3 linked regions of the Ovis aries genome follow. The main gene of each other region encodes a partner of the protein of the gene in region 2 in a complex. Links are inferred from orthologs where the notes say so. Each region holds a gene or a part of one and is shown on either strand. Other genes may lie near its edges.

Region 1 (7,704 bases), on a different chromosome or scaffold from region 2:
GAGGAGAGTGAAAAAGTTGGCCTAAAGCTCAACATTCAGAAAACGAAGATCATGGCATCCGGTCCCATCACTTCATGGGAAATAGATGAGGAAACTGGAAACAGTGGCTGACTTTAATTTTGGGGGCTCCAAAATCACTACAGATGGTGTCTGCAGCCATGAAATTAAAAGATGCTGACTCCTTGGAAGGAAAGTTATGACCAACCTAGACAGCATATTAAAAAGCAGAGACATTACTTTGCCGACTAAGGTCCATCTAGTCAAGGCTATGGTTTTCCAGTAGTCATGTATGGATGTGAGAGCTGGACTGTGAAGAAAGCTGAGCACCAAAGAATTGATGCTTTTGAACTGTGGTGCTGGAAAAGACTCTTAAGAGTCCCTTGGACTGCAAGGAGATCCTACCAGTTCATTCTAAAGGAGATCAGTCCTGGGTGTTCACTGGAAGGACTGATGCTAAAGCTGAAACCCTAATACTTTGGCCATCTCATGCAAAGTGTTGACTCATTGAAAAGGACTCTGATGCTGGGAGGGATTGGGGGCAGGAGGAGAAGGGGACGACAGAGGATGAGATGGCTGGATGGCATCACTGACTCGATGGACATCAGTTTGAGTGAACTCTGGGAGTTGGTGATGGACAGGGAGGCCTGGTGTGCTGTGATTCATGGGGTCACAAAGAGTCGGACATGACTGAGTGACTGAACTGAACTGAACCCTTCACAGGAAGGGTGAAGTCAGAAGTTAGCTCTCCCTCCCCACCCGCATGTCGTCAGGCTCACCAGGAAGGGTCAAACACCTTGTACCAGCTTGGTGGCAGGCCCTCCAACCGGGTAGCCTCATAGTCCACAGGATCGTCATCATAGTCCTCAGCAATGATCTCTTCCTCTGGTTCTGGCAGGACAAGGAAGGGAAGAGGACAGCAGTAAGAACCAGGGAGATTCCCATCCTGCAATCAGGGCCTGGAGAGACACACTCACATTCACGTGGACTGTGTGTGTGTGTGTGCATGCCAGGTCTCACATGCCAGAGCAAATACTGCTCATGTTCCAAATCCAAGTATCTGAATATCAGGATTTACCAAAAAAATTTACTCAAATCTGTTTACGGGTACTACTACCCAAACTTATCTGGTTTCATACTTTAGACAGGGATACATTTTTTTTAAAAAGTATCCATATTTATTCAGCTTCTGAGTTCAAATAGTATGTGACACTGTATTATGCAAATTTGAATAAAATGAGTTTCAACAGCAAGGGGTTTACCTAAAAATATGTCCAAATCTATTCAGCTTCCACGGCTGGCAAATATGGGGTTTCTGACTCCTATATATTGACTAGCAAGTTTGGACAGCAAGGGATTTATCCAAACACTTCTCTGAATCTGTTCAGTTCCTGATGCCTGCAATAGTTGTCAGTTACTATCAACAGAATAAAGAAAGGTGTATGAGTACTTGGACCTCAGTAGTCCTATCACAGATTTCACCCATGGATATAGTTAACAATTAAATGTATATGTCAGCAACAGCATAGTGCCTGTCACACAATAGGCCCCAAATAGATGTCAGCTACAATCATTAATATTGTTAGTAAGATACATACAGTTAGTACAGGGCCTGGTAGCAAACAGCCTTAAAATAAATACCATATCAGTATCATTATCAATATTATTAATAACCAAAGATCTTTGGCATACAACAGGCTTGTAATAGGTGTCACTTATCAATAAAGTGAAAATAAGATGAGTTTTCTAGTACCTGGCACACCTTAGCCCAAAATAGATGCCAGCTTTTACTATTATTGATAAATAAGGTATAAATACTAGCAACAGCAGCACAGTAGGCCTAAATGATAGATCCTATCATTACTTTATATACTGTTAACCACAGTGTATGATAAGCACTTAAGAAGACTCAAAATACATGTCAGCTATTGACATGGTGAACAATAAGGTATGGACAACTCACACAGTGCCTAGTTCCACAGCAGGTCTGAAATAATGTTATCTACTAGTATGTTACAGAACAAAGTATCAGCACCCTGCGACTATACTTGGCCGACAGGAGGCTGCCATAGGTGTCAGCTTACTATTACTATCCTTATTATACTTCCAGGAATTAACTGATGGGTTAAACTTTGGCTACAGAAGACCCCAAAATACACATCAACTGTCAGTGTTAAGGACGAAATGTCTATTCCATACCCCACCTCCCCTCCTCCTCATAGGACAGGAATAGGGGTCAGTAACACGTATTGTTGGGAATCCCTGGTAGCTCAGAGGTTAAAGCATCTGCCCGCAATGCGGGAGACCCGGGTTCGATCCCTGGGTAGGGAAGATTCCCCTGGAGAAGGAAATGGCAACCCACTCCCGTCCAAGTATTCTTGCCTGGAGAATTCCATGGACGGAGGAGCCTCGTAGGCTACAGTCCACGGGGTCGCAAAGAGTCGGACACGACCGAGCGACTTCACTTTCACTTTCTTTCACTTTCAACACGTATTGTTAACAAGGAAATGCCTGCCACCCCACTGCTTGGTGCACAATAGGCCCATGCTAGATATCAAGCGGCAGTATCCGCAACAAAGTGCCTGTCAAGTCGGGCACATGGTAGGCCTCTCTTCTCTTAGTTCTCTCACCAGGCTCCAAATGTTTGAGGATGCCTCTCTTGGCCAAGCGGGTCTGCAACGCAACAGGCAGCGGCATAGCGGATGGCAGACAGGCCTACGGAAGGACAGACAGCCTGAAAAACAGCTCAGATGAGGACTGAATCTGGTTACAAGAGTAACCAAGGGCCTCCCCGCAGCATGTACTCAATCTGGACCCCCATCTACACTAGGAGGGAAATAGACCCTACCCGCTGAAAGGTGGAAGGGGTTGTAAACAGCAATATCACCAACACTCTCACCAACTCCGCTCTCCCAGGCCAGTGGCTGCAGCACCGGGTTCCCGTCCTAGGCCCAGGCTCCGCCCAGCCCAAGGGGCCATGCGCGGCTCCCCCACTACCCAAAATGGTTTCACCCAACGTCCCCCAAAGACTGCTGGGTGGGAGGAACCAAAGCGTTGGGATGGGGGAGCACAGTGTAACACCTCCTCCAGCTCCAAAAAATGCACCCACCCCAAATTACCAATACAGTCACGCAAGTAGTGGACGACTTTCCAACTGGCCACCTCTCTCTCGTCGTCTCTATGAGCGCCAGGACCACACGACTCTCTTCTCCCAAAGCACAGAATGAGTTTCTCTCTCCCCGAGCTTAGACGTAACTGCACGACGCTCACGCAGTGAAAAGATGACGCAAACCTACCTAGCCAATGAGAATGCGCTTTGATCTGAAGTCTGGCGAAACAACAGAACCGTTGCCCTGGGATAGGTGGAAAGCTCGGGCGCTTGTATACGTTTCCAGTGGAGGTGTGGCCCGGCCAGGGTTTAGCGATACTGCGCGGCCGGACGCCGGCGCCATGGAGGAGTATGCTCGGGAACCTTGGTACAGCGAGGGGCATAGGTGTCGGGACTGTTGCTGCGGCGCCACGGCCAGCGGTGGGAGGCGGGTGGGGGAGGCACGGGCCACACAGCGCCACGTCCCAGACTCGGAACACATTTAGATTTTTGTTGTCTTCTGCTCCTCTCCACTTGGTTTCTCTTACTCGGGCTCCGTTAAAAGGGGCCACAATTGTGTGCCTGCAGAAGAAGGTTTGGTGCAGGACGGACCACTCCACGTTTTCCTTGATTCCGTACCTCCCAGCCCCTCTGTTAAAGACACGCTGGTCGAATCCATTCCAGCCAGGGGGTGGTGCGGTGTTGAGCGGGTATCCCCTGGAAAAACGCATGGTTTTTCCCAGGTCGCTTTGGTTAATGCTGGCGGGGCCTGGATGAGCCTGACCATGATTGTGGTCATGGAGGGGTGATGGGTCCTCCGCACTCTATGTGCTTGATTTTCCCCAGTTGTGCGAGGGTGAAAAGGGAAGAGGACGTGGCTTTGTTGGACGTGCTCATTATCGGAAAAAGGGGTGCTACCCCATTCTGCTTAAGGAACAGTGCCTGCAACACCTGTAGCGTAATTCAAACGTGCCAATTCTTTAATTAATGCCCTCTCATTAATTCATTTAATCTTTGACAGTAGTCAACCAGTTGGTTGATTCCCTGGTTGGCTGTGAAGGGGAGGGGCGGACAGGGCCAAGACTGATGTTTTCCCCTCTTCACATTATTTTTTGCTTAAATGAGGGGAGAAATAATCCCAGTATTATCTGAAGTGCTAGTTCTCATTTGGGTGACGTATTGCTCCCAGTTGGAAAGAGATCTTGTGACTTGGCATGAGGGAGCGCTCACATTAACCTCATCCTCCCCTTCCCGCTTGCAGCCCATGGCGAATTGTGGATGATTGCGGTGGAGCCTTCACTATGGGTGTTATCGGCGGTGGAGTCTTCCAGGCCATTAAGGGCTTCCGTAATGCCCCTGTCGTGAGTCCTAGCCTTCCCTGGGTGCTGCTGAGGTCCTGCCCTGACCACATGGGATACTGTTCTGAAACTGCTTGGAACTGCCAGTCACGTGCACTTATTCATTCTGGTGTCTGCTTACCTACTGTGTGGCAGGCCTAGCTCCAGGATCTGGGAGTTTGGGGGAACTGCAAACATGACCTCTGACCCTCACCCTGCTGGAGCTCCTCAGAAATGCTGTGCTGTCAAAAGGGTCATAAAACCAAAACCTAATTGTGTGCAAAGTCAGTCAGATTTTACCTAGAGTCAGATTCTGGGTGGGAAGCCTGGGAAAAGGGAAGTGACAGGAGTTTAACTGGCAGGAGGAGGACAGCCTTAAAGTTGAGCACATGCTTTTAATGTAACATAATCAATTCTCTCTCTCTGACAACACTCCCCTTTTCCCTTCTTGGGAGATCTCATCGAATGTCATGACTTTAAATGCTATCCACTTGCCAAGGTCTCTGCAATTTCTCTAGCCCTGTACTTCCTCCCAAATCCTGGCACTCTCTTTCCTGAATCTTTGTCCAGGTTTCTCCCTCTCATCCTCAAGGTCTCAGAACAAATGCCCCCTTCCTTTAAGAGGCCTTTCCTGACCTCTCAGCCACTGTCATAGCTCTTTATCTCATTTCCTCTAGGGTCCTGATTGCTGCCTGAAGCTATCTTGTTTATCTGAATCCTTATTCAGGATCTGTCTCTCCCACTATAATGTGAGCTCTGAGAGGGTAGGGGCCAGGTCTACCTTGTTCACTGCTGTATCCCTGCATATACCATGGTGCTTGGCACATCAGTGCTAAGTACTGAATGAATGAATAACTTCCTATCCTAGCTTTGAGAGCACTTGTAGTGGGCCCTAGTTCTTGGCCACTTCTCCACATCTGTACCCTTGAGGCCCCTAACAGGTTTCCTCCCTCCATTCCTCTCTTAAAAACTAGAAACCTTATCTGCCAGTGACCTGAACCCTGCTCTGACTCCCTTCCTCCTCACTTTCCCTCAGGGAATGCGGCACCGATTGAGAGGCAGTGTCAATGCTGTAAGGATCAGAGCCCCTCAGATTGGAGGTGAGAGGTTTGGGGAGACACGTATGATAACAGAGTTGGGAATGCTTGCTCCTTGGAGTCTAGACTGCAAGTTGAGGGTCCAGATTCTAGCCCCAACTCTGCCTGGGGCTTCCCGGGGGGAGTGTTATTTCTCGGCAGTTTCATACGGGTGAGTTGTGGAGTTTAAATCCAGGCCCTGGCTCTTCCCTGATGTCTGTGTGACCTTGGGCTAGTGGCTGAACCTCTCTGAACCTCACCTGTAACATGGGAATGATAAAAGCAGTAACCACCTCAATCAGTTTTGTCGTTTATGTAACTTACATAGTACTTACTAAGTGCTGGTTGCTTGCTAAGCACTTTGATAATATTAACTAATAAAAATTTTCAGAAGTCAGTAACATGAAGTGTGTAGATCAGGTCTTGGCACATGGTAAGACTTCTGTAAATAACTATCATTGTTAACTGGCTCTCCTCACCCATTTCCTTCTCTCCTAAACCCAGGTCAGATTCCAATTCTATGTGGTAGTTACGAAGGTCAGAGTTGCTCTGTTAAAAGCCGTATAGACAGAAGTTCCCTGGTGGCCTAGTGGTTAGGATTCTGAGCTTTCATTGCTGTGACCTGGGTTCAGTCCCAGGTTGGGGAACTGAGATCTTGAAAGTCCAATGACAGGGCCAAAAAAAAAAAAAAGCCACATTGAAGCAGACAAGTCTGCTTGTAACCACGTATCCGCTCCCTATGAAGGTGAAGGGAGTGCTGATGGGGATTATAAAGAGCTTGAAGGAGCTACCACAGGGGCAGGTGGACATTGTCTTCTAGGAGTTTGCCATGTGCCTTTATGTCTGGTTATTCTCCCCATTCTTTGCCACAGTATTCAGGCCCTGGGAGTCCCTGAGCCATGGTTTCTCAGGACTACCCGCAGGCACTGATTAGGCTTTGGTTTCCCCACAGGTAGCTTCGCTGTGTGGGGGGGCCTATTTTCCACCATCGACTGCGGTCTGGTGCGGCTTCGGGGCAAGGAAGATCCCTGGAATTCCATCACCAGTGGAGCACTGACTGGGGCTGTGCTGGCTGCCCGCAGTGAGTGCCCCAACCCCAGGCCCCAGCCCCTTCCACCCTGCTCTTCCTGTTCTCACCGCTCTCCACCTCCCTGTCCCCTCCTTTCTCCAGGTGGCCCATTGGCCATGGTGGGCTCGGCAATGATGGGGGGCATCCTGTTGGCCCTCATCGAGGGTGTTGGCATCCTTCTCACTCGCTATACTGCCCAGCAGTTCCGCAATGGTGAGTAACCAGTGAAGCTGGTCATGGAGAGGTGGGAAATGCTCTGTCTTGTCTCCTCCACTCACGTTTACCTGTTTATCTCCTTTCTAGCACCCCCATTCCTGGAGGACCCTGGCCAGCTGCCCTCTAAGGAGGGAACCCCAGGCCCAGGCTACCCCAGCTATCAGCAGTACCACTGAGGAAGTGACCACCTGTCACCGCCACTGTGGGAGCTCCTCCTCGGTCCCCTCCCCGATGATCTACCTCGAAGGGAGGGCTGGCTCCCAGTTGGCCCATGGGACCCTCGAGAGGGCCTCTATCTGTTCCTTTATCCCAGGTTGGGGGTGGGGCACCCCAGCTGCCCTGATGGATGGGTCCCTTTTCTCTCAGGGCACCCCAACCCCCATTCACATGCTCTCATCCCAGTCCCTTTGCATGGCACTCTGATGAGTATTTAAAGCCAGTTTTGAAAATGCCTGTGTATGTACTCCTTGAGCCACCCATAGGAGCCGCTCCCTGGGACAGGGTAGAGCCCTCTTCAGGGATGTGGGAACCATCGCATTTGGAGTCACACAGAGAGTCGTCTCTAATAAAGGTTTGTGGATGAGTGAGTAGGAGGGGGTCTATGAATCAAGATGGGAATAGTACATGAATAAAGATGTGTGGGGGCCAAGTGGTGAATCACAAGCAGACAGAAGAGGAATGGGCTTAGAAAAGGAGTGACCACAGATTGCTGGGGTGGAGGTGGTGGTTCAGCATGTGGCACCTCTGAGCCCTCTTCCCTACGTCCTCATTGCCAAGGCTGAGAAATCTGACCTCACAATGAACAGTCTGCCTAGATAGCAGTCCCCACATTTGTGAAGATAATTCCCCCCTCCATGTGGCTTCATCAGGGACCTGGGATGGAAGTAGGGATCCAGGAGACCCAGCTTCCTTCAAGAAGGT
Region 2 (7,704 bases):
AAAATGTAATGAGTTGTAAGGGAGGGTTGTTCTCATCTCAAAACTGAGAACCCCACACACAGGAAGATCTGGGAGCACAGCTATCACAGCAAAAAACATCCTTTCAGCTGGAGCCTTGGTTCTCAAAGGCCCCCAAGCATTCTGGGCTCCAGGTCCTCTGAGCACACCCTGCAGAAAGCTTAAAACTTCTTTAACATTTTTCCCCAAAATTGTTACATTAGTGTTCCAGGTCCAGAGGGAATCCCCTGCCCACTAGCTCATATCTGTTTGAAAGTACAGCCTATTTGTTCCTATTTTGTTTTCCATGATTAAACTAGATCTCCCTAGCCCTGCACTGCCAGAGCAGAAGACTGAGGCTCTAATGAGGTAATTAACAGTGACGCCTGTGTCACCATATATCTTATCGTTCTGGACTTTGGCACCATTGAGAGCATATCTGCATTTCTCCATAAAATAAACTAACTGCACATTCTTCAGAGCTACACAGTTCACCACCAGAAGCCCCATGCATGTCATGAAGCTCTGTATGGCTACAAAGTTAAGCAGTGCGTATTAAGCTTTATAACTAGTAAGATGACATTTAGTTTAAAACTGATTTTTTTTTCAAGTGACAAACTTTACCTGATTGCTTTGAATTAAGTTCAGTGTTTTAAAAACCTACTTTCTGGGCCTGATTCTTAATATCTGATAAATCAAAGAAATTAGACCAAGCAGAAACTAAGCCAACTTGCAGCTTTCTGTGATATTCTTACAGTTTAAGATATTTATACAAATTCATATTTTGTGTTAAAAAGATTTAAACATATTAAGCATTTTGTGTGATTCTTTGTTAAAATCTAATTTTTTCTGCCTCAAGACATTAAAAATAACCACCTACTTAGACTATAACCATTCTTAAGATCTGACTTTTCTTGACCAAAAAGAATTTATGTACCACCAAATCACAGACTGCCATGCACACTTCCATGCCAGGCATAATTACAGGCATTCTAATTACATCATTTCAACAAGAAGTTCACTCAACTTACAAAGTAATAGAAGATTCATCAGGTAACAATCATCCTGCTCCCACTAACAGAACCTTATATATAAAGACTAATTTTAGTAACAGTGGCAAATTGATTTAAAGTTCAATCTTCCTACTTTAAATTCCTGTCTTTCTCTCCTACATAATAGAAATTTTACAGGCATTATCACCATTTTGTCAGGAGGCTTGTGATATGTGGAGCGTTTACAGCTATTCTCAAGAACCAACTATCACTGTAATACCTAGGGAGGGGGGCCCTGCTTCTGAAACTAGCGTAAACGGGGTAATGGATCCTGGCAGGATGGACACGGGACACAGTCCTGGAGATTCAGGGGGAAAAAATATACCTTAAGTAGTTGAGCTGGTAAGTAGTAGTCTGTAGTGTTAGTCACTGCTTAGTAACAGAATCCTTTTCTATGCTTAAACACAGACATCTGGTTTATTAGAAGGCATAATATGGCAGACTTTCTATATCTATAAATCGAGATCTACAAGCAAAAAGAGAGTCTTCAAGAATCCAAACGGTCCTTCGCACTATTCCTCCACCTTGCAATCTAACTGGGAAGACCGGTGCAGAGCTAGGAACAGCTCAGCATGAAAGAAAGGGATGTAATAAGACATGAAGACAGCACTAGGGATACTTCCTCCGACATTCACTCTGTGAAGTGAGCCACTGTCCTTGGAGTTAAGCTGAAGTTCCTTTTGGAAAGCAGTTGCCACCTCCTGCGCCCTGCCCCTCCCCGACCTCACTCCTCCAATCTCCTTCTGTGACTGCAGAAGAGGACCACCCTTCAGCCGCCAGGCACCCCGAGAGAACTGGAGCGAAGACGAGACCCCTGTCACCAGAACAACACACATACACACACCCTCCTCCGCTTGGACAAGAAGACTACATAAGAGAATCCGGGAGCGAGCACCGAGGGGTGTCTGTCTATTAACAGAAGGCATCCCCCCAGGGTCTGCTGAGAAACGCAAACCTGGCCGTGATGGCGGAGGTGCAGCTCCCAGACCAACCTGCCTAAAAGCGTTACCTGGTTAGGGGGCTGAGTCCTCCATTCGTGAACTGGGTGCAGGAGAGAAAATTGATTATGTTTTGATAAGTAGAATCGACTTTTCTAAAGTCATAAAAAAGACAAAAACCCGGCCCCAGAATTAGGTAGGAAATAACTTCGGGAACATGCTTTGGAGGGGAGCCTTGCCGGCTACGCGGCGCGGGAGCGCGGAGATTCCCACCTGCCCGCGTAGGTGGGCGCGTCCACGCGGCGGCTCTCCGCGAGGGCTGCTCCAGGTCTAGGGGCTCGCACGCCCCCGTACCCCCAGGGCCCACTAACTGAGTGAACCGAGGAGACAGAATATTCCAGGGAAGCTCCTCGACTTGTACCGTGACTTGGGGTTACCCCACGCTTCCAAGCTTTAGACACTTCCTCTCTCCGTCCTTCCAGACCTTTCCCGCGCTAACAGGTCGGAATCAATGAAAAGAAAGAGAAAGGGAGGCGGGGGAGTGAGGGGCTACTCCTGTCGGGGCTCCCGGGCGCCCGCCCCAACGCCACCCCACCCCCGGAGAGTCACCTGAACCCTGCGCGCCCCGCGGCAGCCCCGGGGCTCCCGAAAGCTGAGCCAAAGCAGCCAAGAGGCGGGGGCCGCGCCAAGAGGCACTGCCATTGCAGCTGCAAGAGCCGGCCGCGTCCGATCGCCATGGATACCCAGCGCCGACGCTCCTCCTCCTGGCCGTCGCACCGCACCGGGACACGCCCCCTCGCTGGCGCGTGCGCAGAGGAGCTGGGGGGGCGGGGCCGAGGGCAACGCCGCCTGTCAGCCGGCTCCAGGGGACCTGGCGCCGGCGCCGATGCCGACGCCGACGCCGAGGACTCCTGGCGGCGGCGAGAGCGCAACGGGGATTCTGTGCTCCCACGCAGGCTCTGAGAGTGCTTCGCCCTCCCCACCTGCGGGCTCTGGGGTAGTCTTCGCTACTTCCTGCCCGACTTGTTTAAGAACACCAAACGAAAAGGCTACATTGTCTGCCCAGAGGCAACAGCAGGGCCACAGTCAGACCGAGAATTCCCCAGTTGGCACGGCCCCTTCTAGTGGGACACCGGGATAGGCGGTTTGTAACCGCGAACTTCATTTTTGCAAGTTCCTGAAGTACGCAGCGCCAGGGGCTCCCATCCCGCCGGCCACCAACAAAGCCCCGCCTTCCTGTCCCGCCGAGGCGCGCGGCGTCCGCGCAGGGGCGTGAGGGAGGCCCCGAGGCGTCCGCGCGCGCCCCGGCTGCCTTGCACTGTGGGAGATGTAGTCCTTGAGCGTCCCGCGCCGCGGCAGTTCCGGGAGGAGTGCCGCCCTCGAACTACCACTCCCAGGGCTCCTAGCGGTCTTCCAGGTCCCTTTGCGAGGGGCCTGCCGGGGATCAGGTGAATGTCAGCAGAGAAAGGAATCCAAGTACTTTAAGTCCAGTGAAAGGAGAGCCGAAGGGAAGGGAAACTGGGCGTCAGCTCCTTTCAGGAGACGTTCTGTCTTGATTGACGCAGTTGGAGCTAACGTTTTTGCCGAACACGCCCGTGCAGCGTCACCGGTGTGGACGCGAGCGCTCGAGCCCGCGCCCGGCCGGGTGTGTGGCAGGTCGCGAAGGTCTGCTCTTCACAGCTGGCGTCTTCCCTGAGCGGGGCGACCTTCCGGGAGCATGATCTGCACTCTCCTGAGAGCTGTGCGGTGCACGGAGAGGCTGCATGGGTGCCCCGGGAAGCCATGGTTTCTGCCGCACTCCGTGCCTCACAGAGCTTGCTCGCAGACTGAGCCCAGGTGGAGATGGGGGCTGCAAGAGCAGAACACGGCGGCGCGACCTAGGTATATTTGGGGAGTCAACCAGAGATCCATCTGGACGCAAGGACGGAGCCCCCAGAGCGCGAAGGAGGACGGCAGCAAGCAAGTGTCTGTGCACAGGAGTCAGGGCGGGGAAACTGTCCTCTCAACGTCACAGAAAGGTAAAGGGGATTCCGTGTAGCGATCAGTCTCAGCAAACGTGACGGGAGCTGCCGACGCCCTTTATATAAGTTCAGAACCGAGAATAAACGGTTCACGCAAATTAAAAGGTAGAACCGTTGAAGGCAGTTCAAAGCAGAGAAGATAGGCCTGCAATTTTCTTCCCAGATTTGAGAATTCACATTTGACGGTTGATTTTGATGCAACTTTGCTGAATTATGCCTGTAAGATTTTTCTCAACTTTTATTAGTTTGGTGTGGAGAGAGCCTATAAAACCGTTGTTTGATGTTTTGTAACAGACAAGTAGATTTCCCAGGTGTTACTTCACCTCATTTGAATCTCACCGTTTACTTTTTCAGACAGGCTCAGTAGTATGTATAAGGCTAATTTCCCCAGTTTTGCAAAACTAAAAATTGAATGTATTTCTAATCTCAGTTTCCTAATAGCCATGCCAGTACCTCTTAGGACAACCACACCTGTCTTTAGTTTCTAAGAATAGCGCTGTCTCTGACATTTGGCCCTTAGATGCAGTGCTGTTTTTTATTTATTATTTTGATCAGTGGCAGGCAGTTTTAGAGGCTTCCATTCGACTTTTCTGATTATGGTATGGTGGGCAATGCACCTCAAAGGACCTAGTTTAGGGACTATTGTTGCTGATGACTGAGTATAGCCGTTCCAGTTATACTTTGAAAATCAGGGAAATGACCGTATGGTAAGTCCACCCAGCTGTGACCCTCTTACATGCCAGGCTCTTTATTACATAGCCACCACAGGTACTCAACAGAGAGACCATAGAGACTCCTTAGGTTATTGATGTCAGCTTAGACTCTGTCCGGTGTACCTTGAAGTATCCCCTTTTCCAGCATGGGGTCACCAAGTTAATGGCTGAGGGGCTCTGGTGAAGGACCAGGGGAATCTTATGCTTGCGCAAGTGCCTCCTGATGGAGTTGGCCTTCCTTCGGTAAATGAATGCCAGGAGTGAAGAGCGGTTCAGGTCCAGAAACCGAGCTGTTCATTGTCACGACTGTTGCCACCTGGCTTCAGTGCTGGGCCATCCCCAGGGCTGTCAGAGCACCTGTGGGCAGTGTTTTCCAGGCCCCTCTCGGGACAGCCGGCCCTGGTGTCCGACACCCGCTTGAGTACACCCACAGTTCGTGTGGCAGTGCTGTCATTTTTACTTCACTTAATGTGGACCACGCTCGCTCCATCTTTGCCAGCACGAGCCGAGCTGTGCACCAGCTCTCAGGCTGCTTGTCACACTTCAGTGTTTGATCGGAGAGTGCTGATCAGTCAGCTCCCATTCGTCCCAGTCTGTATTTCGCGCCCCTTCCCGTCTCCCTTAGGATATAGCTGGCTCTGCTGGTGGGGCCTCCGGCTGCTTCAGGGCTGGGGTAGCCCATTTCTTCCTTCCTTCCAGTTACGTTGAACCCTGGCCAGAGCACGTGTCTTGCAAGGTGGAAGTCTCCACCAGGTCTGCGAGCAGGAGAAACAGCTAGCCTTTAACTGGGAGGCGTGAGCTGCCACTTCATGTGGGAGGGTTCAGAGGAAGTGGATCAAAGGATTTCCTAATCTTAGACAGTAAGGAGGCATTAAGATCAAGTACCTAAAGTACCAACTCCTCAGCCCTGCTCCCAGAGTTGGCTGTGGTTCTTTCCAAATAACTTTTCAAGTGATTCCAATGCGCAGATTTGACAGCAGCTGCTCCAGAACACACGCCGACCCCTCCCGTGTCCGAAACCCACATCTCAACTGCTGGAAATCCTGAAGCCAAGAGCATCCAGCTCATGTCCGGCACACGTGTAACCAGGGGTGTTTTCTCTTTACAGTGAAAGAAGCTGGAAGAGATTTTACCTACTTAATAGTGGTGCTTATTGGAATCACCATTACAGGTTGAAATCACAGCAAGTATAAACCTCCTGAATGTCTTTTTCTCTCTCCATTTGTCTCGTTCTTGTTTTGCTAGATCTCCTTTTTCTGTGATTTTCAGGTGGCTTGTTTTACACGATCTTCAGAGAACTTTTTTCTTCATCTAGTCCGAATAAGATATATGGGAAAGCCCTAGAAAAGTGCAGATCGCATCCTGAGGTTAGTCTTTAAGGCTGTTATTCCAACTCCGATAATAGGGAGGAAAAAACGTTGGGGTGACCGGGGGAGTGGTGGGCAGAAGTCACATAGTGGTTCCGAGACTGGTGAAATTTATGTAATAAATTGGAATGGTTGGGTTGTGATTATGTTATTAGCTCCTTGTTCGCTACTTGAAATGCTTTGATTTATGGGCAGCACCCAGAGGTCCATACAGGGACATTTCAATTCTAATTGTAAAAGCTTAGACTATACCAGCATGTTAAACTCATGCACTAAGTGTCCAGTCTTTTTAAAAACCTGATCCATGACCTCATGATCATAGTGGGAATTGTTGGAGCTTACTGAGAGCATAGTGTGCACCACACACACTGCCCAAGGTCTGAGTGCTCATTCGCACGAGAACCACTCATGCCGGGCGCGGTCTCTATCCCGCATGCAGAAGAACACTGACATTTAAAGAGAGTAAATTAACAAAGCTAAGATGACCAAGCCAGTAAGAGGGAGAAAGTGAATGTGTTAGTCTCTCAGTCATGTCTGACTCCTTGTGACCCCATGGACTGTACCCTGCCAGGCTCCTCTGTCCATGGGATTCTCCAGGCAAGAATCCTAGAGGGGGTTGCCATGCCCTCCTCCGGGGGATCTTCCCGACTCAGGGATCAAGCCCCGGGTCTCCCACATTTGTAGGCAGATTCTTTACCTTCTGAGCCACGAGGGAAGCCTCGTAAGAGGGAGAGCCAGAACCTAGTCCAAGTTTGTCTGATTCCAGATCTTATGTCTTAAGCACAGCCTGCCTGAACCAGGAGTAGGCAGGCGCAGAAAAGCTACATTGATTTTTTTTTTGAAGGATCCCATCGAGAAGGAAGTTTTCCATAGGGCTTTCCAGTCACAGAGAGAAAGCCAGTGTAGCCTGTGAAGGCCCAGATTTCTTACTCCCTGAGTGCAAAGCTTCAGCATTGAAAAATCTAATTCGTTGAAAGCTTAATTCTTGTACTTTGAAAGAATATGGCATATAGCATCATAAATCGCATGGCTGTTTCTCATGTAGACCAAGGAGTAATAGCAAAGAGACAGTCCCTGGGGAGGGCGGGAAGGTTTCGAACCCGCAGACGCTGTCAGCCTAGGTCCTGTCAGCATCCATGCCCTGCCCTGGGTTTCCCTGGGCACCGCCTCCACATGCTCCATCAGTGTCTAGTCTCGGCAGGACGGAAGCCTCGGGAGCTAACGGTCTCTGACATCTTTCTTTCTTACTGAACTTGGGCGATCTGAGAGCCGTAGGGGAGATGCCACTCTGAGTGAAACTCAGCAGGGAATAAGGAAGTTCCCACTGTAGTTATTGGAGAAGGAAATGGCAACCCACTCCAGTGTTCTTGCCTGGAGAATCCCAGGGACAGCAGAGCCTGGTGGGCTGCCGTCTATGGGGTCGCACAGAGTTGGACACAACTGAAGCGACTTAGCAGCAGCAGCACTGTAGTTACTGGGAAACCTAATTCTACCTGACAAGATACGCTTTACACACTATGATGATAAATATGACCAGTCGCGTAGTTAAATGTTGGAAGAGATGAAGAGTTGCTGCGTTGTTCACAAACTAGCCATTCGGTGATTTTCAGCATTGG
Region 3 (7,704 bases), on a different chromosome or scaffold from region 2:
AAACAGTGTTCCAGTGATCATTGCTTGTATGTCTCATGATGTCTGTAGAAGGCGTTTATCTAAATATCATTGCCACGCTGACTTTCAGTTCACTTTTTTATTGTGACCCGTTCCATTGCCCTTGTAGCTTTGCTTTATAGTGCATTTGGTGTCATCATTGAGAAGACAAGAGGTGCAGAAGATGACCTTAACACAGTAGCAGCTGGAACTATGACAGGCATGTTGTATAAATGTACAGGTAGGTACCATTAAACGGTGGAACTGTCTCTTAATACAGTTGAAGTATGCTTTTTTGGCCATACTGTAGTTTTTAAAAGAATTTTTTTTTTTTGGTAGTGGTAGTATAGTGTTCTTTGATACCTCACGGTTTTCGATTTTATTTTTTAATTTTCATAAAATACACAAAAAATTGACCATCCAAACTGTTTAAATGTACAGTTCAATTATGTTAAGTATATTAACATTGTTATGCAACTCCAGAACTTTTCTTCATCGTATAAAACTGAAACTCTGCCCACTAAACAACAACTCTGTCCTCCCCCTTCTGCAGCCCCTGGCAACCACCATTCTACTTTCTATGAATCTGATTCCTTAAGGGACCTCATGGAAGTGGAGTCTTGTAGTGTTTTTCTTTTAGTGACTGGCTTATTTCATTCAGTATAACCTCACGGTGCAGCATGCATCAGAATTTCCTTCCTTTTTAAGGCTGAATAGTGCGCCATCGTCCGTGCACACACATACACCACATTCCATTCACTCATCTGTCGGTGGGCTCTCGGGTTGCTTCTGCCGTTGGCTGCCGTGCATGATGTTGTTATGAACATGGTGGAGTAAATCCTAAGAGTTGAATCAAAATTACCTGGATGAAGATCAAATATCAAATTGTCCTCTAAGATGGAAAAGAAATGAACATTTGCTGAGTTATGGTTATATTCTCAGTAGTAACCACTTAATGTATAACTTGTTAAACTCTGTGAAGTGATCATCACAATACCCCAGTTTTATAGATGAGCACATTAAAGACGTTCTTTTTCAAAAGATCATAAAACTAGTGACAGCCCCAGATTTTTCTCACATTTGTTTTAAATTGCCTAAATTTATGCCATAATTGCCTGTTTATGTTTTGTACTCAGGCCTCTGAACAGTACTTCTGATTGTTTTATTATGCTTCAGACACTTCAGTAATTTTTGTTCTTAGGTAATTCCTCCATCACAAACATCAAGTAGCATTTTTTGCCTCACTTTTACTAGAAATGAGAGTGAAGTCTCTCTTACAGGATTATAAAATCTAAAATTTCATGGTATGTCTGAGAGCGAGAGGCTTTTTTAATACTGAAAATGGTAACATTTGGAATTGTATCCCTAAGAGCTCACAAGACTTCTTGCAGCACGTGCCTGTTCTGATACACATCAGCAGAGCTCCTAGGCATAATAAGATAGGAAAGATCTCCTAGGCACAATAAGACAGGAAATATCTTTTGTATACACGAAAATGTTGGCATAGAAAAACCTTGTTAAAAACCTAAAAATACTTTCACACTGAAAATCTCTGGGGTCAGACAAAGGAGTTTAAAACCTTAATTGGCACCACAGGGGTGGCACTCAGCCAGCAAGTGTTTAATCGGCCCAAACTGTGTTTATGAAAGATCAAAGTAAAATTTAAGGAACAGGAGATTCCACACAAAAATCTGGAGATTTTAGCTTCTTTTGCAAAAATGGAAGACACACGGCTCACGTTGTGTACGGTAGCAGATGGCAGGAGCTGCTCTGGGGGAGCTGCTGCCCCAGGGGATGGACACGGGAGCTCCAGCTCAGTCCTCACCCGTCCCCGCTTTCTTACTCAGCGTCAGCCATTACAGCATTTCCTGTGTTGGGGGCAGCCTTAAGTATAAGAATGGACTGAATTACCACCTCGTTTAAGACACATTACACATATTTTAAAGACACAAAGGGGAAGGCTGAATACTTGGGATTATCACAGGAGAAAAATGAGAACCTAGTTTTCTGTGTCCAGGACTTCTTGCAGGAATAGCATCTTCCCAGCCTGGGACATCTCCAGCATAAATTATGGAAAAGAATGCTCATGGCTCAGAAGAGAAAAAGCAAAAAAGAATATTCATTAGTGCTTTGTCAGGTGACAAGTGGGTTTCCGTTTTTCAGATTTCAGTTTCCACCACAATTGTGGAACACAGAAGAGGTGAATGACCTGCTGACCCAGAATTCCAACACTGGTTCCTAGTTCCCAGCTGATTAGTTTAATTCAGCACATCAAAATTTCGGACGGAGGCAAAGCAGTGTCTTTTACTGATTTCTGGTTTAGACGCCACTTAAAGCACAGAATTTCATGTGGCAGGAATTTATTAAAAAACTCCCATATTCAAGGATTTGGAAAACAGTTTGGGTGCTCCTTCAGTCTAGAGTCAGCCTAAACCACGAAGGAAAGGAGACGGATGCTGGTAGCCCAGTGTCAGTGTACGTGACGCCACTGACGTGTACACTCACCAGTGGCAAATATTTTGTTATGTGTATTTTATCACAATTTTAAAAAGAATTTTTTAAAACCAATTTAAGTTAAATAGTGCAGAAATTTGTTGAATTTGTAAGCTGTTTCAGTGTGTAGGTAAGGCCGTTCCCCTAAAACAGGGCAACAGGCTCCTTCTGGCCAGATGCCTGTCTCTTCACAGTTTGCAGACTAAGAATGTATTTTACATTTTAAAATTGTGGACATTTTACGTGGTTATATGTATCTACAGTATGTAGGATCGAAACATCGAGAACTAGCAGGATACACATTCTTTAGAGACATGCGGGTAAAGAGTGGGTTTACTTTCCATCTGTTTCAAAAAAAATTGTGCTGACCCCTGTGCTGAAGTGATTGTCAGTTCAGTGTGTTAGCTCTGCCAGTAATCAGCTCTATACCAAATAAACTAGGCACTTAAATATTCCGGGCCTCATTTTCCCGGGTTTAGAAGAGATGACATTTGCCCTTTTTGGAAGAATTGTATAAGGATCCAAAAGATAGACAATAAAACAGAAGCCTCCTGTTTGTTTTGCTTTATAGAGGTTAACCATTGGCCTCATTTGGTTCACTGTGTTCAGAGCAAGTGTATTTGCTAATCAACTTCCTGTACTTAGTTGGGCAAAGGTGGTTTTGTTACAGAAAGCCTAAAGCCAAGGCTGTTAAATTCTTTAACAGATCAACCAGATGGAAAACCCTGACATTATTGTGAAGAGTTAAAACTAAAACATAATAAAAGGCTTCCCTGGTGGCTCAGCTGGTAGATAATCCACCTGCAGCATGACCTAGGCTCAATCCCTGGGTTGGGAAGATCCCCTGGAGAAGGGAAAGGCTACCCACTCCAGTATTCTGGTCTGGAGAATTGCATGGACTACTGTGTAGTCCATGGGGTTGCAAAGAGTTGGACATGACTGAGCAACTTTCACTGAGTCAGGATTACTGTGATTATTAGTAAATCATACACTACATGTTTGGTGTCTTCTTGCTAGAAACAGTTGCTCAGTCATGCTAGAAACAATTTTTTCTTAGCCTTCAGAGAAGGCTGGTATAAAAGGGTTATGTTTTGTACTAAGGTTGTTTCATTTTGGTATGAAAGGAGAAGGCATTCTAGGGGATAAACTGTTAAGAGACACTTGATATGCCACTGACGCCCCAGAGTTCTTAAACCTTCAGAGCTTCCGGTTTACGCTGGAGCCTTCTGGTTGTGTAACCTGCTTAAAGAACATCCGTCACACTCAGAAAACTTCACTCTCGTATCTGAACCATAGTGATGCTGTCTTAGAAGGCATTTATTTTTCCTGGGCTTCACTGCTTATTTTTCCATTTCTAGAAATTTGGTCTGGAGTTCACTGTCAGCCCATTTTCCAGCCACACTGAATAGTTGCAAATGCAGCTGATGCCTAATCTGAAGTCTGGCAAGACAGAGAGATGAGATAGACTTGAAGGAAATATCTCCCATTTACTGTGATTAATTTTGTGTATCATCCCCCTTCCTACATATTTGACGGCTGTTTATAGATGATGCCTGCAGTTTCTATTTGGGTTTGTTTAAGAGAGATAATCGGGGTACCTCAGAGTTGAAGCCTAAGCCAGTCAGCTATCTAAAGTCTTCAGGCTAGAGAGGCTCCTAGAGGGAGTAACCCTTTAATCTATCATCTGAAGCCATCTGGCAGGACGTGCGTTGCAGAAATGGTTGGTGTGAAGTGTTCTAACTCACCAGCGTCACGGAATTTCATGGAGTTTACTGGAATGTAGCTAAAGGGTTTCTAATAGGGTACACCTTAAACACTGGACCTGCTTTCCTAACACATGACTTGCGACAGATACTCCATAGATACCATACAGACTACCTGAAGTGTTATCCCTACTTATTTGTGAAACTGTTAAGAGAACATCAAGTATTTCTTAAAAGCTGCTTTGGGTACCCCTATTCCTTTTACTAGACTTGGTGACTATTTTCGGGTAACTGGTTGAAACATTGTTTCTGCATTTCAAATGAAATACCTATTCCATAATCTTTTTCCACGTGAAAAAATCCTTTTGTTAAGCAAAAATAGCTCAAAGTCTAATCCTAATCCTGGAATGTTTTTCAACTAGTATGATGATGCTTGGAGCTTCCCAGGTGGCTCAGTGGTGAAGAACCTGCCTGCCAAGCAGGAGACACAGGTTTGATCTGTGGGTCAGGAAGATCCCCTGGAGAAGGAAACGGCAACCCACTCCAGTATTCAACCCACTCCAGTATTCTTGCCTGGAGAACTCCAGGGGCAGAGGAGCCTGGCGGGCTGCAGTCCTTGTGGTCGCAAGAGTCAGACACGACTGAGTGACTAAATGATGCTAAGTTACGTCTCTGCTCATTAGTTGGAGGTTTTCTGAAACATCAGAATAGGGATAGGTAATGGGAGAGTCGGTGCTTCATCAGCACCCAACTCAGACCTTGATTACAGCCATCTTATCTCACACCACTGTCTTGAGTCTTCAAAATTAATATTTAGAGGACCTGTGCAGAGTCCAAAGCCTGTTAATACCGTCTCCAAAGAGGGTATCGCCTTGTTTACATACCACCTTAAATCAATTGGCAGTGCCAGTGAAGTTCTGAAAGTTAGGACTAGCAGGGAATTACTGATCTGCCTGGGATTTCAATAAGAAGCATAAGGTCTTGTCCAAAAATGTCCTAGGATCAAGTCCGATTGAGAAAAGTCAAAACACCATGCTGATAACTGTGAGATTAAAAGTGAAAAAAAGGCTGTTACTATGGATACATCGTTTACATATTAAGCAGGTGACTTAGGGGGAATCTGTGTCTACTGAATTTCAGTCTTGGTTTATTATTTTTAGAGATTACTCTCCTGTTTGGGATGGAATCTTCATAAATCTGAAGAGTGTGTCCCAGCTTTGCAAACCTCTTAGGTTGCCCTCTGATGGGACAGTGTGTAATGACTCTCTCCCTTTTCCTCTCCCAGGCGGCCTTCGAGGGGCAGCACGAGGCGGTCTAGCAGGACTAACGCTCACGAGCCTCTACGCTCTGTACAATAACTGGGAGCACATGAAGGGCTCTGTGCTTCAGCAGTCACTCTGAAGATTCTGCTAGTTTACAAACGGAGGACACTTAGTAGTCACCCTGATCAGTTTATAAGTCAGTCTGGAGGCATTTACTCTTCTACAACTAATTTGAAAAACTAGAGATTCCAGTTTGCTGTGATGAAGAACATGGATGGTTGACCAGGACTGGCACTCCTTCCAGCCATTACTGAGTTGAAGACAGAACACCCCTTGGCGGCTGAGTGATGTTCTCTTAAGAAGACCTTGCACCTGTTTTTGCTCCTACCCACTTCTGGAAAACCACTTAATCCCAGAATGCAGGCCTGCTTGTCAATCCTGTACCAGCCACATTTGTTCACTTAATGATCCAAGACTGTAATGTTGCTCTGCATTCCCAATAAAGGGTGAAAATAGAACTGAAGTCCTAACTCCAGCATTAACATAGTGGGTGTCTCTCCAGAGCTGCTCTTGACTTATCTCTGCTCCCATAGGCCAAAGCATGTTTTCATGTTTGTGATGAAGTGAAGGGCTACTAGCAGCATTAGCAAGTAGGTTAAATTTTTTTCTCCAACAGAGCTGACACTAAACAGCCTCAAGATATCTCAGGTTAACTATTATACCGTCACTGTACTGTGCTAAAACAATCCTAACTCAATCTCACTGGAGACGATGAGAGAGATGGCATAGACAGAGCTGGAAGTTTCTAAGGGAGCCCTGGGAACGCAGCAGAAAGGGGGGACAAGTTATGTGATTTCTGAGTTTGTTTTCTCATTATGAAATGAAATTAACCAAATAATGCACTCTAGGTCACACACATACGTAATAAACAACTGCTGGCTATTATGATTACAGAGAAGGTGAAGTAGAGCCTTTCTGAACACATCTAGCTAGCAGGAATTTGGCAGAAAACCAGAAGACAACAGCAGATAGTAATAACATACCTGTTTGCTAATTCAGGAGTGATAAAACAGCATTTTAAGTGAATATAAGAACTTTTTATGTTCAAGTGTTTCTCAGCTGTGCTTGTAACCAAAGGATACCACATTCATATAATTTTGTGACAAGATGTTTTACAAACACACAGGACAATTATATGGGTGTTACGCTTTTAATGAATGGAGGCAGATACAAAATGCATCAATGCAAAAGAATGGTTTAGATACTCAGCATAGTGATTAATGTTAATTTAGGGAGACACAGCCTGTTAAACCTCAACTACAGTTTCCTGCAACCTAAGATAATGGAGAAGCTGCTTAAGTTTTTACCCACCACCTTTAAAGTTCTAAATGGTATCTGGAAGAACTAAAAAGTAACAGGCTCCTTTCAGCTGTGGTTAAGAACTCTCGTGAAGCTGTATGGCAGTGACACTGGGGACTGTGATGTTTCCCCAAAGGGGCTTTCCAGATGACCACATCACAGACTTTACAGGTATTTCTAATAGGCAAGTTGAGTGGCTTGATAGTTTAAAAGTGGAAAGCAGCTAAGATGTCTCATTTTAGAGAATTTTAAAACATGGTATAAATACCACCTCTCCTACAGAGAAACTTTTTAAAGCACGGACATAACTTTAAGGATACTAAGGAAACATTGATAGTTTTCATAAAGCTTCAATAAACACCCCAAGGCACAAGTGTTCAAAACTTCCTATTCACTAAAATGTCACTGCATTACACTTTTATTAGAGGTATAGGTATGCTATGCTTGCAGTGAGCGGACGTTTAATTTATGCCTAGTTAAAAGCACCAGGTGTCAAGTTCAGCTTCCATTTACACAGGATGCACCAATAACACTTAGGATAGTGAACAGTTCAAGTACATTTCCAACATAGTTTGCTTTTTGATTAGTCAGCACTGGGGCTCTGCTGCCTGTAGTTCTTCAGAATATTTTGGAAGAGACGAGAACTACTCTGAACATAGTCTTCAAGCAGTATGGAGCCCTTCCGAAAGAGAAGTTCTTTCACAATAACATTTAGAGAAGGAAATACAGACAGATCTTGCAAAATCTGAATGTCTTTCCAAAGAAGAAATGTAGAATCTGGCACCTAAGCTAAAATGTTTTGTAATAAATGTCAAAAATTGCCAAGACTTTCAATATGTGTTTTGGTAAGAAAAAACCACTATATTGGCAAGGTTAATGATGTAAAATGC

Evidence for each region.
Region 1: TIMM21 (region 2) and TIMM17B share a complex: the UniProt entries of both Homo sapiens proteins name them as parts of the TIM23 complex. The link is inferred for Ovis aries from reciprocal best matches to the Homo sapiens genes TIMM21 and TIMM17B.
Region 3: TIMM21 (region 2) and mitochondrial import inner membrane translocase subunit Tim23 share a complex: the UniProt entries of both Homo sapiens proteins name them as parts of the TIM23 complex. The link is inferred for Ovis aries from reciprocal best matches to the Homo sapiens genes TIMM21 and TIMM23.

Annotation. Positions count from the first base shown.
Region 1 is NC_056080.1:56,175,284-56,182,987, forward strand, and holds TIMM17B (mitochondrial import inner membrane translocase subunit Tim17-B), read left to right. Parts: upstream 1-3,410; 5' UTR 3,411-3,447; coding exon 3,448-3,473; intron 3,474-4,346; coding exon 4,347-4,446; intron 4,447-5,458; coding exon 5,459-5,522; intron 5,523-6,450; coding exon 6,451-6,579; intron 6,580-6,669; coding exon 6,670-6,780; intron 6,781-6,870; coding exon 6,871-6,959; 3' UTR 6,960-7,370; downstream 7,371-7,704. Other genes in the region: PQBP1 (polyglutamine-binding protein 1), read right to left, coding at 777-888, 2,628-2,694. UniProt on the Homo sapiens protein: Essential component of the TIM23 complex, a complex that mediates the translocation of transit peptide-containing proteins across the mitochondrial inner membrane.
Region 2 is NC_056076.1:4,425,658-4,433,361, reverse strand, and holds the start of TIMM21 (mitochondrial import inner membrane translocase subunit Tim21), read left to right. Parts: upstream 1-3,404; 5' UTR 3,405-3,704; coding exon 3,705-4,005; intron 4,006-5,829; coding exon 5,830-5,892; intron 5,893-5,990; coding exon 5,991-6,088; intron 6,089-7,704. Other genes in the region: FBXO15 (F-box only protein 15), read right to left, coding at 2,597-2,724. UniProt on the Homo sapiens protein: Participates in the translocation of transit peptide-containing proteins across the mitochondrial inner membrane.
Region 3 is NC_056078.1:43,000,193-43,007,896, forward strand, and holds the end of mitochondrial import inner membrane translocase subunit Tim23, read left to right. Parts: intron 1-127; coding exon 128-238; intron 239-5,478; coding exon 5,479-5,594; 3' UTR 5,595-5,978; downstream 5,979-7,704. UniProt on the Homo sapiens protein: Essential component of the TIM23 complex, a complex that mediates the translocation of transit peptide-containing proteins across the mitochondrial inner membrane.